Linked DNA regions of Xenopus tropicalis. The protein of the gene in region 3 purifies or fractionates together with the protein of the main gene of each other region. This does not show direct contact. Links are inferred from orthologs where the notes say so. Each region holds a gene or a part of one and is shown on either strand. Other genes may lie near its edges.

What was found. Proteins that work in one complex are often made in the same cells at the same time.
Region 1: the proteins of ncbp1 (region 3) and ddx39b purify together in Homo sapiens (affinity purification with mass spectrometry; 6 studies listed by BioGRID and IntAct, with this or other methods). This does not show direct contact. The link is inferred for Xenopus tropicalis from reciprocal best matches to the Homo sapiens genes NCBP1 and DDX39B.
Region 2: the proteins of ncbp1 (region 3) and eif4g1 purify together in Homo sapiens (affinity purification with western blotting; 3 studies listed by BioGRID and IntAct, with this or other methods). This does not show direct contact. The link is inferred for Xenopus tropicalis from reciprocal best matches to the Homo sapiens genes NCBP1 and EIF4G1.

Annotation. Positions count from the first base shown.
Region 1 is NC_030684.2:74,192,787-74,196,089, reverse strand, and holds part of ddx39b (spliceosome RNA helicase DDX39B), read left to right. Parts: intron 1-1,525; coding exon 1,526-1,657; intron 1,658-3,303. UniProt on the Homo sapiens protein: Involved in nuclear export of spliced and unspliced mRNA. Component of the TREX complex which is thought to couple mRNA transcription, processing and nuclear export, and specifically associates with spliced mRNA and not with unspliced pre-mRNA.
Region 2 is NC_030681.2:99,788,775-99,793,071, reverse strand, and holds the end of eif4g1 (eukaryotic translation initiation factor 4 gamma 1), read left to right. Parts: intron 1-137; coding exon 138-219; intron 220-315; coding exon 316-414; intron 415-1,721; coding exon 1,722-1,856; intron 1,857-1,955; coding exon 1,956-2,037; intron 2,038-2,119; coding exon 2,120-2,260; intron 2,261-2,419; coding exon 2,420-2,598; 3' UTR 2,599-3,767; downstream 3,768-4,297.
Region 3 is NC_030677.2:107,434,350-107,437,926, forward strand, and holds the end of ncbp1 (nuclear cap-binding protein subunit 1), read left to right. Parts: intron 1-163; coding exon 164-267; intron 268-553; coding exon 554-668; intron 669-1,887; coding exon 1,888-2,019; intron 2,020-2,112; coding exon 2,113-2,226; intron 2,227-2,333; coding exon 2,334-2,447; 3' UTR 2,448-2,969; downstream 2,970-3,577. UniProt on the Homo sapiens protein: Component of the cap-binding complex (CBC), which binds cotranscriptionally to the 5'-cap of pre-mRNAs and is involved in various processes such as pre-mRNA splicing, translation regulation, nonsense-mediated mRNA decay, RNA-mediated gene silencing (RNAi) by microRNAs (miRNAs) and mRNA export.

The sequences.
Region 1 (3,303 bases), on a different chromosome or scaffold from region 3:
TGTATGCATCCATTCACCTGTAAATTCTATTTGTTGGAGATATTTAACTCAAAGCCGTATGGTGAAGCACAGATATACAATACAATGTAAATATTGTGGAAATCAAACCATTCTGATCAAACATTATGATTGCGCTGTAACATCAGATTCCATAATGCTAAGTTCGGACTTTTTTATGAAATTGTATGAAATGTTTTGTCTTCACTTGACCATTAGTACTGATTTTATGATTTACTAATTGTACAGTTGCATGCATAATCAATAAGTTGGCCCTGTAGGTCCTTAAATAGGAACTGTTGCAAAAATGTCATATCACATGGAAATAAGATATAATCTTAATATAATCAGAGAATACTGTGCTGTTTCAGAAATGAAGTTCCTCAGCAGTCTGTTGCCCTTCATGCAGGAGTCAGTCAGATTTTGATGGACAGTTAGAGCAAGTGCATTGGTGTGTGCTTTTTTGCCTAGGCAATGTAGTCTAGAGCTGTCTTTCTAAATACACAACTCTGATACAAAGCTGCATGTAGAGAGAGTGGATAGATTGTCAGAAATGGTACAGAATTTCCAGCTGATTATATTTAGATAGTTTCTTATTTACATGAGATGAAGCTTACATGAAATTTTAGTTTTCTTGATAGTTCCCTTTTAATATTTGTCTGATAAGAAATCGTGCTACTATATTATCCCATCACATGGCATTTATAACACAGCGTTAATACAATCTGTGTGGCTTTTGCATTTGTAAATCCCATTATTTTAATAATAACATTGTCATATTTTTATATTTATTGAAGTTGATCACATTTTGTTCTTTAATGAGGGACAACTGGTTTGAAATAGTTTAATATTGGGCCTCATTTGCTATTCAAGTGGAGCTGCTAGAGAAAAAAAACATTTTGCACCTTTGCATGTGTTTAAAGGAAAAATGCACAGATATAGTTGTTTTTAATTGTTTAGTGACGGCTGTGCCTATTACACTTGGGTATAACTCACATAACTGACTGCACGCTGTGCCTGCAGGTATTTTGCATTACAAAAATTGCACTATTGAGCATGTAAATATATGCCAATGTCCCCCTAGTACTGGTTATTTTGAACACATAGGCAATTGTGCAGAAACAAATACACAGGGTTTTTTGTGAAATATATTACTGCATTACTGAGAATAAAACAGGGCAAATTATCAGTTTTTGCTGTTTGCCAAGTACCATGTTTAGGAAATGAGGCCCATTATCATTCATTTTCAGAAGTAACTCCATTTAATGCATCAGGGAATCTCATGTACAAGAAACCTGTAGATTTGAACCATTCTGGATTGCCTTCCTATCAAGGTAGATGTAGGTACCACTGATCATGGAGTTACTGTGCCATGTTACCTAGTCCCATCGGTCAGAAGTCTTATGGGTTATAGAAATCTTTTCTGCACTCCTTGCAAGTAATAGAAATTCACAATCATTTGAGCAGAAAGCAGGCCCCCTCCCCTTACTGTGTAACCCTTAATTTCCCACCCAACCCCCTCCTCCAGCCAATGGAAATCTTCGTGGATGATGAAACAAAGTTGACACTTCATGGACTGCAGCAGTATTACGTCAAACTGAAGGACAACGAGAAAAATCGTAAGCTGTTCGACCTTTTGGATCTCTTGGAGTTCAACCAGGTTAATAATATTTTCTTTTTTGCATTGCTGTTAATGGTTCTGTGCATATTATAGCTGGAATTTTTGTGGTTTAGACTAGATTTCTATTGTTATTCTAATACATACTCTTAAAATAGAAGATAGCTAAACAGTCTACAAAATGGCCCTTGCCTGCTTGCTGTGATTGTGAATTACAAGATTTATATAGTGTAAGTGAAGTTTATTTTACTTGACAAACAATAGAAAAGAATTTTGAATTTTTTGTTAGGTTCCCTTTAAAGGAGAAGGAAAGGCTAAGTCACTTGGGGGTGCTAAAATGTTAAGCACCCCCAAGTGACTTGAATCGCTTACCTCGTACCCCGGGCTGGTGCCCCTATTAGGAGAAAACCAGCACCAGCCTGGGGGCGATGCGCTTCCTCCTTCCACCTTCGTTAAGCCTTGACTGTGAGTCAGGCGCATGCACAGTAGAGTGATAAAGCCGACTTCTCTGTTAAAGTTCAGCTTTTCACTCTACTGCGCATGCGCGCACGGCGAAGGAGGAATCGCTGCAGGTACCCCGGGCTGGTGCTGTTCTCTCCGTACAGGGGCACCAGCCCGGGGTAAAAGGTAAGCGATTCAAGTCACTTGGGGGTGCCTAACATTTTGGCACCCCCAAGTGACTTAGCTTTTTCTTCTCCTTTAAGTTGTGTTGTTTCTCCATTTGGAGCTTTTCTGTGGCAGAGTGAGTACAAAATAAAAGGAACAAGCTGCATTTTTTCATTCTTTTCCTTGTGGTGGAAAGAATGAAAGATCCACCGCAAGAACTGTATGAAGAGATTCTTGTAAGAGCCCTTACTGCTCTTATGGCATTTATGAACCAGTGCCCCATGGTTTGTGAACTACCGTTATGGATTTGCTAAGGCTAAACAAGAAAATAAAGTGCACCTGTAGATGTGGTTGTATTTAGAGCGAAGCGGGTATTGTAGTGATAGTTCAGCATATACTTAAAGGAACAGTAACACCAAAAAATTCAAGTGTATAAAAGAAATTCCAATATAATGTCCTGCTGCCCTGCATTGGTACAACTGGTGTGTTTGCCTCAGAAAGACTACTATAGTTTATATAAGTAAGCAGCTGTGTAGCCATGGGGGCAGCCATTCAAAGGAGAAAAGGCACAGGCACATAGCAGATAACAGATGAAACACTATTGTATTCTACAGAGCTTATCTGTTATCTGCTATGTAACCTGTGCCTTTTTTCCAGCTTGAATCGCTGCCCCCGTGGCTACACACCAGCTTTTATAATATATAAACTATAGTAGAGTTACTGTAGCAAACACACAACTTTTACCAGTGCAGGGCAACAGTACATTATAAATAAAGTTCAAAGAACCCGGAGAGTACCATTGTATGCAGTGAAACAGTGTAGTTTTATTGAGACATCTTATAGCACAACATGTTTCGGCTCACCAGCCTTCCTCAGGTGCTGGTGAGCCGAAACATGTTGTGCTATAAGATGTCTCAATAAAACTACACTGTTTCACTGCATACAATGGTACTCTCCGGGTTCTTTGAACTTTATTTGTAAGCTACACAGCCAGCACGGGGGCTGCTACCTGTTGAGGAGTACTTACTGAGTAAACTAGAAGCTACGGTAGGACTTTTTGAATTTTTTGGATATCAACAGTA
Region 2 (4,297 bases), on a different chromosome or scaffold from region 3:
AACAAGTATTTATAGAGAAGTTTTGGGTACTACTAACGATTAGGAGGGGTGGATAAGGGAATTCAGTTTGCCTTGGACTGAGAAGTGGGTTAGAATTTCAGTTCCTTTATCTGACACCTTTGTGCTTCCACTTCTAGAGAGCTGACCAAACCTTTAGTGCTCATTGGCAAAGCTGGAGTCCTTCTGGCAGAAATCCTTGGATTATTGTGCAAAGGCATGGTGAGTATATTCCTGGTTAGTATGCAGTCATTGTCATTGAAGTATTATGTACATTCTTGTTAATAACACACCCTATAAATTATTTCCTAAAATCAGAGTCATAAGAAGGCTGGAGCCCTGTGGAAAGAATCTGGGCTAAGCTGGAAGGAATTCTTGTCCAAGGACCAGGATATTAACAAGTTTATAACTGACAAGGTATGAAATCTGTATCCTAAAACATTCTTCTCAACTTTTTTTTTTAATAAAATGTTTTTAACTTGTTTTGCTTAGTGTAACGGCATATATGCTAAATAGTTAAAGCTTTGTTTTAACCACTTGACTGTCACATAATGTAAATTGTATTGTGCTGACTGACTGATACACAACTTCAAATATTTGATTTGTGCAGCAAAATGGGGTGTTTGGCAACAAAAGGTCCAGAGCCCTGCTTGAAAGGCGTTAAAGGAAAAGTAAAACTAAAAATTAAGTAAAAAATGTATTCTACCCTGCCCCAATAATTGCCCTGTCCTGCAAACCTTTTAGTATTTTGAATACCTTTTTAAAAAATATCTGTTTAAAACTTGGCTTCCGGTATTTGAAAAAAGGCAATGCAGGGCAAGCATCCACTATGCGGCGATCTATTGATCGATCCTAGCCTGACTCTCGATCAATCGATCATCGCATACTGGATGCTTCCCCTGCATCGCCTTTTTTCAAATGATTAACATTGTTGCCAGTGGAAAAGAATTTGATGGAGATAAGTTGCCCGCAGTAATGAAGATTAATCACGGGCTCCTTACTGAAGCTCCATGTTTTTATTCTGCTAGCATTGCTTTGCTTTGGGCTAAATTAAATGCTAGTGGATGAACTGTCCTGTATTTTAGTGAATGGAGACAAAACTGCCTATATTGCCTCCCATCGCCTTAAGGGCAGTGGCAGGTGGGATGCTCACCCCTGTAGTCCTTTGACTATGGGCAACGTCATTTCCCGCAGTTGAAAGAGATCTCCATCTGCCATTGTGCTAAAGGCTGCTGCACATGGACAGGTGGGGATTTCACTGCTACTGCTTTCAGAAAAAACAGGTTTAAAACTGCCCTGATTGCACTCCGCAACTTTTTATAATATAAAATATGCCGTGGCTATGGCGGATGGAGCAGTGACCTGTGGAGTCTGACTTTCACTGCTCCATAGTTTTCATTCAAGGTCCGGATTTTATTGCACCTAGAGATAAGAACTGAATAGCTGAGGAGGCAACTGTGGTGGTGGTTTCTACAAGCAGAGAATTATGCATAATAAATTGAGATGGCTGCCCTACACCTTTATTAAAACTATATAATTAAATATACATTGGAAAATAACACTTCAAGTGGTAAAGCTAACTATTTGCACTGCACACAGTGTAATACAGTATTAAAACTAAAACCTTTCATCATGACTGTTTTAGGCCAGTTTGTCTCATCGTTTTTTTTTTTTTTTTTTATAACTATTCCTTAGTCTCAACTGCTTTTTCTTTTCCCCTGTAGAAACTCGAATACACAACAGGAGAGGAGACTGAAACACCCAGTAAGAAAGACCTCACCCCTGCTGAACTTGATAAAATTTTGACAAAACTTTTGAAAGAGAACAGCAGTAACCAGAAGATATTTGACTGGATTGAAGTAAGTAGGCGGGAATGTTGCAGAACTTTGGCTGGTTGAGTACTGTTAGATGTCAGTACCTTACTGTTCAGCTCCAACTTATTTTGTTGTTCTTTTCAGGCCAACTTAAATGACCAGCAAACTTCATCCAACACCTTTGTTCGAACTTTAATGAGTACTGTGTGCCACTCTGCTATTATTTGTGAGTATTAACACTGACAAAACCAACAGGCAACCATTCACATTTATTTATTTTTTGATCACTGTTTGGTCTTGTTTTTCAGTTGAGAATCCTTGTAGGGTTGATGTTAATATTATCCATACTAGAGCCAAATTTCTTCAGAAATATTTAAGTGACGAGGCCAAGGAACTACAGGCTCTCTATGCTCTACAGGCACTTGTTGTAAAGCTTGACCAGCCCCCAAGTAAGTAGTAAGCATAGTGGGATGTAAGCCAGTGACTGCCTTTGCTTGCTGCACATTCCCTTTTCCCTCTATCCTCTTGCCTGTGCATTTTTAAAATGTGTATTTTACATCAGTGTAAACAATGTTCATAGAAACATGCTTTACTGTGTCTGTTCCCAGATCTCCTACGGATGTTTTTTGATGCTCTCTATGATGAGGATGTGATAAAAGAGGATCCATTCTACAAGTGGGAGTCCAGCAAAGACCCAGCTGAACAGCAAGGAAAAGGTGTTGCTCTTAAATCTGTCACTGCCTTCTTCACATGGCTACGGGAAGCAGAGGATGAGTCTGATAATTAACAGTGCAGGCCAAAAGTAATGCCTGTCATCCTTTCTCTGTTTTCCTCTGGGCTTCCATTTTTTTTTTTCTTTTGCTGTTGTATTCACACCACCCAAGCTCTAATGGACTTCACCAGAAAACACAAATACTCATGATTCTGCTTTTAAAAGAAAAATTGACATTGGCTTAAATGATGACCAAGGTCAAATTGCTAGGAGAGCCTGGAGTAAAATTAAAAGATGGTAGGAATCCTGGTACAGAGATTGGGCGTGGAGCCTGGCGCGCACACAGCTGTGCACACTGTAAAGGTTTCTTGCATTTTTGGATTTTTTTTTTTTTTGGAAACAGTTTCTTTGGGGTTCACTTTAATAAATGAGTACTTGATACATTTTGGGACTGCTGAAAGAGGGATGGAAGCTGTGCCCTTCTACCCTCTGTGTTGTCACACAACGGGGCACAGGCAGACTTCTCTTACGCTTGCTGATGTGATTTTTTTTTTTTTTTTCTTTTTTTCAAGAGCAGACTGGAGACCACATGTTTCAGTGGGATGTTGCATCTGTTCTTCCCTTCTGCTCTTGATGTCTGAAATATAGATATAAATATATATATATTATATATAAATATATATAATTATTGCAAATTGTTTTAGGTTGAAAGATGGCAACAGGTGCCATTTTTGAACCTTGTGTTTCTGATCTCCTGCCCACACGGAGTTCAGGAAGATGGCTGAAATTCATTGTTTGCTTTTTATATGCAAATTAGTAATCTAATGAATTCCTAACAGATCTGAAACAATCCACATTGGTGCGTACTCTACCAACTGCTGATATTTTTTTTCCATTTTTTTTTTTTGTTTTTTTTTTTGTTTTATATATATATATCCCCTGTTCCAGGGGGAATGAAAAGGACTTAATTTTATTATGTTAAGATCACCAAGTGTTGGAGATGCACCCCTTAAACCCATGCAAATTCTGTATTTATAGAGAAAGCAAAACCTTTTGGTTATTTTCCCTCCCCATATGTTCTGGAGGTTCTTGTAATTATGAAACAAACTAAGGATTGAATTCAATTTGTAAATACATTTTTGCTTTCTTTATTAAGTATTTAATGATTCTGACCTACAGATTTCCTGCAAAACCTCTTTTCACAGAAACTGGAAATAAATGAGAACATTACATAAATTGTGCTATCTTCTTGCTGTAATGGCACTTTGCTTTACATGTATGGTCACTGCATTAATAATCCCATACAATTCAAGCCAAAGGGATGATTATCAGTTCATTAAAAAAAATCGGGTAGTCATTTAGCTATTGCTTCACCTCATTATTAATGCCATATTAAAGAATTACAAATCTGCAGCAGTTCACGTTTTTCACATTTTCACTAAATCTTCCCCTTGTTATACTGACTCTACGTGGTGCTTGGCACCTTTTCTTTGATACTACACTAACAATGAATGAATAATAGTCATACATGCTGTACTGTCACACTTAAAATGGCATGCTCAAAATTCTGAACCCCAAGTCTATAAAATAGTAGAGCCAATCCCAGAACTTCACGTAAGGGGAAAGTTGAACACCATAAAAACAGACAGAACTTGGGCTATCTAAAACACCAATGTACATGACAAGTGTAAAATAAGTGTAAAAAAAATTTAATTCAAATAACATGCCCAAAGAAAAGCCTAATGCATTTCATGTGTATATGGCATTCAATAAT
Region 3 (3,577 bases):
GACATTATAGAATTATACTAATGCTATAATTGTAAGCTTGCTCTGCTTTTTTGTTTGCACTTTAGTTGTATTTGAATCTGTGCAACATTTGCATAGTGGTAAAAAGCAATCTGCTTGTGAAACTACAAAATATTTTGACATTTTGTCGTCATTCTGTCGACAGATGATTGCTGTGTTAGTGGATAAGATGATACGAACACAAATTGTTGACTGTGCAGCAGTGGCAAACTGGATCTTCTCCCCAGAGTTATCACGTGACTTCCCCAGGTGATCTATTTATTATTTGGCCTTACTGTAAAGTTTGATGGTGAAAACTATGCATTATCGAAACCACTAATAGGCAGCATTTTAGATTTCATGTACCTCTTCTTTCCTTAGGCGCTTCAAAAGGGGCTATACATTATATACTTAATTTGTGATCAAGCTTATACAGTAGCTTTTAATTTTTGAGTCTTCCCTGAGCTTGGTTGCCCTTTAAAATGTTTTAATTTTAACAGTTTGTTACTGTCCATGTCCTATTCTGCTTCCTTCAGATTTTAAACTTTCTTTACAGGTTTTATATATGGGAAATCTTGCACTCTACAATTCGGAAAATGAATAAACACGTCCAGAAAATCCAAAAAGAACTGGAAGACATGAAGCTAAGGCTAGCTAAACAGCATAAACATGTATGTAACTTAAAAGAGGAAAAGAGTAGGGCATTTGGTTTCTGAGTTACTGAGTTTCCAGGATAGTTTTTCATGGAGCCCTTTTAGGTATTCCTATATTTAGCTCATATGGCGAAGTATCTAGCAATTCTTGTATACTCTTTGTATTTAAACAATGTTCATAATGTACAGTGTCCTGGTAGTTGTGTACAAGTTAGTGCTTCAGAGAAACTTAGCTGCCCACACTCCGCTCTTTACTTTTAATTAAAGATTCCTTGCCTTGCATTGCATGTTCAGAAGTACAGTGCCCATACACAGTAACCTTTTGTGTGTACACCATTTATCAAACTTGAATAAAAGGCTGTATGAAAAAGACAGTCACTTTCTCAACAGCTGGTTTACCTGCTGGCAAGGTGTACAGGCAAATGAAATTATAAATTTGCATATATCTATGATCCACAAGGATCATGTGGTTGACTGTCTGCTGATGCATTTGCCCAGTCAGGCAGCATTCTTGAAATTGACAAAACTGTCTGAACAAATGGTCATATATTGCCAGCTTCAGACTTTTCCCAGATAATTTATAGTATGAATAAAGGTATTTATGTGCCTCCGCTTCATATATAGCACAGTTTTAAAACCAAAAATGAGAGGCATGAACCTTTACTTAAGAAGTGAGGGGTAAAACTCTCCAAGTGGAGGACACTTTAGCTCTTTTTATCACTGCATTACCTGACCCCTCTCGTTTTTCAGTTTGATTGCTTTCTAACCCTGATACCTCAGAAGCCACATTCCAATGTTTTGCAGCTGGGGAGATCTAGCAAGAAGCTGCATTGGTGGTCACAGGGACAAAAAAGAGCAATGTGAATGTGTCTGTAAATATTTGTGTCATTTTTGCCTGAATGCTTGAATGTGTCTGGCTATAAATCATTTAGTTAGCGTTAATGCTTTTACTGTTTAGTTTTGAGGACATGCTATGTTTGAATGTATGTTATGTCAGTATCCTCTGATTTATGCATTTTTAAGAAGTCGCTTGGTGACAGTTTTATTAATTAGGTAATTTAATGTTTTCTATGAGCTGTGGTTTTTTTTTTATGCAATTAAACCCACGTGTACTTTGTTTTTCTCCTCCCTCCTTCCCCCTCCAAATCTGACTGACTGGTTTCTAGTTAGAAAAAAGTATTATAGGACACAGAGATTTTCCACCTGAAATGACCAATTTTGGTCAATTTCATTTCAGAGAGACAGTGATGACAATGATGAAGACAGTGGCAGAAAGGATGGTCCTCTAGAAGAACAGATTGAGCGGCTGCAAGAGAAAGTTGAGTCTGCTCAGAGTGAACAAAAGAACTTGTTCCTTGTCATATTCCAGGTAATCTATCCAGATGCCAAATATTTTGTATCTAAACTAAAGGCAACACAATGTGCAATGTTATATTTGTGCTGATTATGCATTTTCCCTCAGAGGTTTATCATGATCCTTACGGAACACTTAGTTCGCTGTGAAACTGGAGGCATTGATGTGAATACTGCTTGGTATAAGAACTGCAGAGAGAGGCTTCAGCAGATATTCCTACAGGTAACACGTGTAGAGCAATCCATCTGTGCTTGATATAATATAAGACTTTCTACGTATTAATTCAAGATTGAATAGGTATATAACAAAGTGTTGTTGGTCATTTACAGCATCATCAGATAATCCAGCAGTATATGGTGACCCTGGAGAACCTCTTGTTTACAGCAGAATTGGACCATCACATCCTGACCGTCTTCCAGCAGTTTTGTGCATTACAGTCTTAATGAAACCTGTGCCGGAGTTTTTCTCGCCCACAGCTGCCTTCTAGGCCTGGAATGTTAATAGGAAAAGACATTTTTGGTCAATAACACTGAAAATGTGATTGGCAGTAGAGAAAAAGCCATCATTTGCAGTGTTACACATATTGGTTATGATATTTGCTTCTTTTTGAACATTATAGCTATTTTATGAGAGAATATTTGTTTTGGATTTGTCCTGTGTTGCTTACTGTATTACCCCTCCCATTATGGTATTGCTACTCTTTGTAGACATACTTTATGTAGTTTTTTTTTTTTTCTTTTAATATTTTCATTGGAAGTTTCCTTCATTGCAAAGTGAGTGAAACTTCACCTTTTGTCAGTGTGGCAATGACCACATGGTTTATTTTATATTTGTCCTACTACAATGAACATGTCTGAGGTTTTCATTCTTTCATTCTAGATTTCCCCCATACCCTGATCCATCCTAGAGTTCTTAATTCTGGCTACAGCATGATTTAAATACAACTGAATTACTTTTTTAAGGTTCTTGTCCTTGGTGGTGTTTTTTTTTTTTTTTTTTTATATAAAGAAACTTAAAAATTTGAATACTTCCACTCCTTTAAAGAAATTAAGTTATGTCAAGAGAATGTAAATATTACATTATATCTAACAAGTAAGACACACAAGTAGCTACCTCACAGACATACGCAGTGTACAGTTTGAGTTTAACTATGAGATGTTCTTACATAAAGCTTTGAAACTCAAGAGTCTGGAATTACAAATAAAGGCATAGGGGTCTATTATACAGAATGCTTGGGACCTGGCATTTTCCAGATAACGATATTTAATTGGGATCACCAGACCTTAAGTCAGCTGCAAATAAGTTAAACATGAAATAAACCCAATAGGATTCTTTTGCTACTAATATGAATTCATACAGCTCAGTACAAGGTACTGTTTTATTACAGAGGAAAAAAAAGGAAATTATTTTTAAAAAAATGAGTTATTTGCTTAAACGGGACAGTATGGGAGATGGACTTCCTGTAATTCAGAGCTTTCCGGATAACGGGTTCCCATACCCATAAGCAAATGTTTTGGAAACAAATATTGCAACATTTTATATTTAATATTATTTGTAGCTTTTTATTATGTTT